2 linked regions of the Tribolium castaneum genome follow. The protein of the gene in region 2 purifies or fractionates together with the protein of the main gene of each other region. This does not show direct contact. Links are inferred from orthologs where the notes say so. Each region holds a gene or a part of one and is shown on either strand. Other genes may lie near its edges. The genes, in order: Prosalpha5 and akirin.

Evidence for each region.
Region 1: the proteins of akirin (region 2) and Prosalpha5 purify together in Homo sapiens (affinity purification with mass spectrometry; 3 studies listed by BioGRID and IntAct, with this or other methods). This does not show direct contact. The link is inferred for Tribolium castaneum from reciprocal best matches to the Homo sapiens genes AKIRIN2 and PSMA5.

What each region holds. Positions count from the first base shown.
Region 1 is NC_087396.1:10,900,780-10,904,142, forward strand, and holds Prosalpha5 (proteasome subunit alpha type-5), read right to left. Parts: upstream 1,967-3,363; 5' UTR 1,851-1,966; intron 1,792-1,850; exon of another isoform or gene 1,724-1,791; coding exon 1,452-1,723; intron 1,403-1,451; coding exon 1,197-1,402; intron 1,147-1,196; coding exon 896-1,146; 3' UTR 719-895; downstream 1-718. UniProt on the Homo sapiens protein: Component of the 20S core proteasome complex involved in the proteolytic degradation of most intracellular proteins. This complex plays numerous essential roles within the cell by associating with different regulatory particles.
Region 2 is NC_087398.1:5,661,471-5,665,923, forward strand, and holds the start of akirin (akirin), read right to left. Parts: upstream 2,838-4,453; 5' UTR 2,593-2,837; coding exon 2,400-2,592; intron 1-2,399. Other genes in the region: ankyrin-3, read right to left, coding at 3,989-4,453. UniProt on the Homo sapiens protein: Molecular adapter that acts as a bridge between a variety of multiprotein complexes, and which is involved in embryonic development, immunity, myogenesis and brain development.

The sequences.
Region 1 (3,363 bases), on a different chromosome or scaffold from region 2:
GCACAATGTTATAGAAAGAGAAACGAACAAAGCAATAATTATATTTTAGATATCGTAAAAAGAATAACTACGTAAACCTAATCAGCAATAAAAATAAATTAATAGTTGCAACTTTTAATAACACAAATTAAAAACTATTATGTATGTGAATAATTTTTTTGAAAGTCATTTCACCGGATAAATGCCATTTAAATTTTTACTCAAACTTACTTATAAATCGACTTTTTTGTCACTTTATTATGACATACTTAAGAAATTATTGTCGACATAACATTCTTACAGTTTCTTTAAATAACATTTGGTCGTTAACTGTAATAGTATGCAAATCTATTTTAATAAAGTTTAAAAAACTCTTCTTCTAAATTTACTCACAATGAAGATTTGGTCTGGATTCTTATTTAAATTATTATGGTTGTTTTAAATAAGTGAATAAAGGCAAGATCAAATTATTAGCAAACTTTTTGATTAGCTTGATTAATTAATTATGCTGTAAGGCCGCTCAACTGTAAAAATAATTATTGGGTATGACGGACAGAAGCAAAACCTGAAAAAAGATGTGGGTTCCACCTTTTATCCACTATCTGAATCTCCTTGGATAAAATGAAAATGTGTCTAGTTACGGTAATTTCGCTATGCATCACTAATTAGAGTAATTAGCGATAGTTATGAGGGTTAGGAAAAAAGGTCCAGGAAGCAGGTGTGGTAAGCATAAACGTAATGATTTTCTTCTTAATTATTTATTGTTCCAGTAGAGTGAATAATAACGATATTTAAATATGTTGTTAGCAGAGAACATCGTTTTGATGGAAAAACAGTAAAAATGTAGTTATACTGGTATAGAAAAATAAAACAGCTTGTAAAATAAAAACGAGCAACCTCCTGCCTTTGATATAAATTATGATATTTTAGAAATTACCTCCTCCACCTGTTCCTTACTAAACATATGAAACAGTGCACCAGGAGTCATTGTCATGACTTCAACATTTGAAGAATTCAATTTCTCTTCCATCACTTGCTTAAGAATTGTTAGTGCCGCTGTTGTTGCTTCACTTAGTGTCATACTGCGGTGGTAGACCTCCTGCAAGCTTTGCTGAGCCCCTTCTGAACCAGATCCAATCGCCTTGGCATCAAACTGAACGAATGTACCTATAGTGAAAAAATAAAAAACTTAGATTAACATAATTATTAAAACCAACCAGAGGGATCCATATGGTACAACTGGGGCCCCTTTTCGTCAATCCCAGCAAACAAAATGGCAACACCAAATGGCCTTGACATTGCTGCACCATCATCGTCAGAATCGCCAAATTGAATCGCTAGATTCGACACAGCTTGGGCACAAGATTCCACACTCATGTTTTCGTTGTAGACAAACCAATGGTTTTGGCATTCCACACGTGCCCTGGCATAATTTTGATCAACTACATTTTTTTATTTTTTTTATTATTTACCTATCAATCATTGTTCTAGAGTCTGCCATAAGGCCAGACACGGCACAACCAATATGTTTATCAACTTCTACAATTTTTTCTATTGTTGTGGGCTCCATTAATGGGGAAGTTATGCGCTTCTCTACCGCCAACACAACCCCCTCACTAGTGCATATTCCAATAGCGGTGGAACCCAATTTGATAGCTTCGATAGCATATTCCACTTGGAAAAGGCGACCTTCAGGTGAAAAAGTGTTCACACCTCGGTCATATTCACTTCTTGTGAGGAACATCTAAAAGTTTTTGTGAGGTTATGTCACAAAAAATGACTCTGCATGCAATAAATGCAGTCAAAATCGGACTAAACCATTAGTTATGTAAGAACATTAATAAAAAACATAAGTTATAAGTAAAAATTACCTTTATAATTGGATTAATTCAAATTTTTCTAAATTCAGGAAAAAGCCGACGATGACAAACCAAAACACGATTTTCTCACCAAGTCAGTGTCGCCAATGCTACAATAATGATATTTTAAATTATGAGAAATTAATTCTTATTATTTTAAAATCTAAGTTATCCTTCAATTCAAACACTGTATTGTAAAAACGTGTTTGGGATTGCACAAGAGCAAAAAACAAAGGTCCTTTTACATATTATCTGGCTCTTTAGAACCTTTTTTAACGTAGGGTTGGTGCTTGATTTTCAAATTTGACACCTAACCTTTAAAAATTAGCCAAAATAGTATAAAAATTGTGAGCTTTTTCGACGTGAAAATAAATTATGTTTAGACCAATATCCGTAAAACTGGAAACTGTCGATGAATACCTGCAGCAGAATGATTATTCCGCTCTTGAACTTTACTTAAAGAAAGAATTTAGGCTGGAAAAGGACGAGACAGGTGTCCCCCTAAAGTAAGTTTTGTCCTTATTAAGAAAAATTTGGAAGATTTAGTTTTTCAGGATTGAATTTTCAACTCAAGCTGTGGATTTGCTACATAAAATTTTAAAGACACTTTCTGAGCAAAGCCTAAGCAAAAATCATGAAGGAATCATAAAAGAATTGTTTAGGAGTCTAAGGAATTATGTTATAAATTCAGACGTTCAAAATTATTTAGTTAATGACGAAAATTTTCTACCGAATGTGTCCAATTTTATGAACTTACAGTCTGAAGTGATACAAAATGCATTCCAAATTATTTTACAATTTTTGTTTAATTTAATAATATCAAATAAAAGTGCTGTGGATAGAGTATATGATGTGTTTTATCCTACAATACTTTCACTCTTGAAAGACAAGAAAAACATTTACGAAACGTCTGCCCTTTTATATAACATGTCTTTATACAAGGAATTGAACATGGATTTTGACACGTATTCTTTTCTCCTTGAACTTTACGACTCTCACAATAGTGTAGAATATTTGTACTTCATGTTAGAAAAACTAATAAGTGATTGTAATTTTTGGAATTATTACTTAAAATTTGAGATTAATAAGAGGGCAGCAGTGTTGGGCGTAATCAGAGATAAACAGATTAAAGGAGAGGCATTAAATATACCAGTAACGGGTTTAAAAGTGTTAACTAACCAATTTGTAGCGTCTGGTAATATTATTTTTCAAACAGTTCAAAATAAAGATTCAAGTTTGGAAGCTTATGAGATATCGCAGCTTGTGCAAGTCATATCGTCTTTCTGTAGTAATGAAGATTATTTAAAAGTGCTACAAAGCGATAAAGATCTATTAATCAACTCTGGTGTTTTATTAATCAATATCCACAGACTAGGAAAAGAAAGTGAAAATTGTTTTACTTCAATACTGAATTTGTCTGAAATTAGAGAACCTAATAAAAACATCCAAGAACATCCAGCTTTCGGATTTAAGGCGGACTTGATAAGGATAATTGGTAATTTGTGCTGGAAAAACAAAATTATGC
Region 2 (4,453 bases):
CATAAATTTCAACAACAAAGCAACATTTTATGCTTATGACCCACCAGTCACGCAGTGGCACATTTAATTCAATTTACAAAGCCGTAAAATTTTCAGAAAAAACCCTAGAGACACAGCCACAACGTCACTATCCGCGAATCTAGACACAGGTGTCCTTCTAAGTCGGGATGAGCTTTTACCCATCTCTTATCCCTTTACGACCAACTACCATTACCAAGTGCTTCGAAAAATTACCAGATTACGGGCAGTAAAAGCATCCTAAACCCAAACTCTCAAATAATGCTGATAAGATAAATGGGAATATTTTTCCAGGAAGTCAGATTTCGGACAAAACATCGAAATCATTGGTCTTTAAATCCAAACAAAACTGTATATGTATTTAATTTTAAAATTTACTAAATTATTACTTATATTTCGTACTATTATTTAAATTTTAAATAAATAAAACAACAAAATGTGTGTTTACAATGGATTTATTTCAACCGTAGCAACTGATATAAAATATAAAGTTCGAAATCCAGTACAATTTAGAAAACAACAAATAGTTTTTTTGAATTTTAAACAATTGTTAGGTTTATGCTCAGCCTAAGACATTATCATACATTCAAAAAACAATATATTAATTAATTACAAAAAAAAACAAGAAAACCATTCCATAACACATTGATTTTCAAACAGCACCTTTATACCTGCGACTTAATATTTTCACAGAAAAGGTCTTTGACATCTCTTTCGTAGTAATGCTTCCTAATAAGCTGACTTTAAGTAGTATAATTCTTGTAAATTTTTACGTTCCCTCCAAAAATGATTCAATTTAAAACTGGTGTTTTCCCCTATCCCCTTATTTTCATATTATGTTCAGATACTTACGCATACACAAAACAATTAACGTATTGTTTATTTGTTTAATCTTTCTTGGCACAAATTATTTTATAACAGTTCAACAACAAAAAAGGTAAATGAATGATGACAATGAAAATACTAATCAAATCGATTAATGTTTCTAATAAAATTATTGTTGTATTTACTTTTGTTTTATTACTAGATTATTTTACCATCCTATATAAAAAATCGAAAAATTGTACGCATCAGCATTTAATAAAGATAATAACTAAATCAGAATCATACTAACAAAAGTGTTAACACAATTTATAACTTCATTTATATGTGATTCAAACAAGATGATAGAAAAATTTAATTTGTAACTGTGTTACAAATTAAATTTTGTTCAAGCATGTCTGAAACGAGCTTTACGAGCTGATACAAAATATGAGGTCAATATATTTTGTTTTCAAGAGAACATGTATAAGCTTTAATGACTTCATTAAAAAAGCTTTTAAGCACGCTCTAACATAAAACAGGTAATGAAAATAAATTTTATTAAAAAAATGGTACAACATTCTTTCTACAGAGACTTTTTTTAACTCTAAAAATAGTCACCATGTTACCAATAATACGAAAAATAATAATTATTTGATGTCAAGTTGTTTGAAGTTTATTTTAGTGAAAAGATAATCCTTTGTAATCCGGCATTTCCCCTAAAAAAATATAAATTGCTTTTGCTTTGAAAAGAACCGAATTGTTATTTGTTTCTTGCCAGTGGTGGCGCAACTCCTGGGGGTAGGAGGTAGTGAATCAAAAAAATACGTTCGTCAAAAAAAAACTAAAACTATGCAAAAATAAAGGTTAATAAATGTCCAGTGTTTAAAAATAATCAGTTTTTAAAGATACTAATCTTAACTGAGGGCTGAAAAGATAATCCTTTGTGATCTGGCATTTCTCTTAAAAAAATATACTCGTACCACCAATTTCGTTATTTAGTGAAATTTGTCGGCTCAAAAAAAGTGGAAATAGAATGACAAAAAAATACGTGCGTTTTTAACGTGGCTCACAATCTAGGAAGTCATGTTGGTACAAGCTCAACTTAAGTTTTATCTTCAAGCTTCTAAATATCACAATAAAATCTTAAGTATCTTTCATTATTACAGTTAGCTATGAAAAAATTATGACTCAAATCATGGAAGATTTATGTATTCCTCGATCGGTCATGAAATTTCCCATAAAACTCTAATCGAATCCAGGCATCCAAAGCGTGAGAGCCTGTAAGCCCCAATTATAAAATTTAATGTCCTCGCTCCCCTCCGCTCCAAAATCAATATACCCGCACCCAGATTTGGTTAAATCGGCAAAAATAACCTAAAAACGTTGAGATAACACGAGCGGATAACCTCAATTTCTAAAATCACGATGCTCCAACGAATTCGAGCAAGATAAGCAATTAACACGGAATTAAAATCGGTCCTGTAAAAAGTCCCTCGGACGTCATTCCTTTATCGGCGATCAGCTGAGACCGAGTGTCAACAACCGCAAAGGCCCTTAGGCCGGCCCTGTCCACTTACCAGGGGTCAATTTTTGGCTGACGACATCGGGAAAGACGGACTTGGGCTTGGGGGAGGAGGAGGTGGCCGGAGGCGAAGCCCTGTCTCTGTGCGTGGGGCTCTCGCAGAAGGGAATGCAGCGCCTGCGTTTGGCCGGACGGCCCCCCAGCACGGGCTCCCAATCCAAGGAACGTTTCAGAGTAGCGCACGCCATTTTTAGTTCTGTCGCTAACACTTCACACACAAAACAAACTTTGTTTCACAGGCTATCGCGAATTTGCTATGTACAAAACCGAAATTGCACTTGGACACTTATGCAGCGGTACTTTTACCCCGAAACTTGTCCATGAAAGGGGAATGGTCGACGATTTCATGCGCACCCAACGACCAATATGGCGAAACGAAATAAGAGAAGTGACATTTTGTGAACGGCAGAGTGGGCTGTGATGAATATACGGTTACCATTGGCTTGCGCGACTCTGCGCATGCTTTGTACCCTGGCGACATCTCCCGGGACCAAAGATCTTCGCGTTTTTTCAAAATTAATTGGGCTAATTTAAAGGCAATTACGCAAATTTCCGTCTAACAACGGCTAAAACGAATGTATCATGAAATCGCTTGCTACCTTATGCCATTTTTAGGCACGTTACTGTTGCTTTTGCTTTGAAAAGAACCGAATTGTTACTTGTTTCTTGCCAGTGGTGGCGCAACACCTGGGGGTAGGGGGTAGTGAATCAAAAAAGTGCGTTCGGCAAAAAAAAAACTATGCAAAAATAAAGTCCAGTGTTTAAAAATAATCAGTTTTTAAAGATACTAATCTTAACTGAGGGCTGAAAGAAAGCAAATCCGTGTAATATAGACATTTTTTTATTAAATACTTTTTATCCAAATATGATACCAATATGCCTCAACAATAAAATCACATAATCTTAAATCTTAACATAAAATATACTATCCAATTTATATATTATACTTAGCTCTTAATAATATTTGGCATATATATTAAAATGTACAGAGCTGATATTTTGTATAGCATAGGACTTTGCCAGATTCCTACAACAAACCAAGCTAAATATTATTGTCAAAGAAAAACCGGTGACGGAACCAAAAACCGTTCGCACACGTCTGTGTGCAGTGTGTTTCAAACGTAAGAGGCACGGAATAAACAACAATGTGAGTGGTTCATTTAAAAACTGTCTAATCTGCACAAAACCCTGTTCAACACGAACACAGCTCAAAAGCGTATTAAGATATCATAAGTCGTAGTTCTACAACATCCTTGCTTTTAGTCGACCCCATTGTACCGTTCAACTGAACACTTACGATTACTAGAATTTAGAAATTTTAACAAGAAATCACAAGTATATTATCTCCCTTAAAAACTAGCAACGGCTGAAGCGCGTCCAGGATTTTTTAACATATCACAGCTAGCGCCAGAAACAAGTCAAACAATGATACGTTTTGATAATTGACTTGCGACGAGTATTTTCATGATTTCGAGCGAGAAAGAAACAATATTCAACACTGGGCTAAGGGTCACATTTAGACATCGCCACTTAATTCTAAACCGATATTAGAAGAAATCCTGAACGACTTCGAGTCACCTTGATCTACGGTTCAAAGTTCAACAAATAATCTTTCAGCTGATTGGGCAGATTCAGTTTGTTAATGTAGAGTCCCGGTCTGCGCCCGAGACAGTTGTGTATTTTAACGCGGCAGATCTGTTTCAGACTTCTTGGTCTTTTGTATAAATCTCTAATAATACAGGTCAACGGCTCAGTCATTTTCCCCGGTACCAAACTCAACTGCTGAGTGTGCAAAATCTTCAGACATTCGAATAGCGGCTTGTGTTGCATTATAAAATAAAATAACATGATTATTTTCGAAAAGCTCATGTTCGGGTCCATTATGAGATTCTCTTTACGCGATATAAGCATTATGTAATAGTACAAGATGTAGTTTTTCGTCTTCCAAATGGATTGGAGGTGCAACGGATGGTTCTTTATTGCTTCGGACATGTTCAAGCTCAGGTCGGGATTCGCCCCGTATTGTACCAAAGTAAGCGTAAGGTCGTA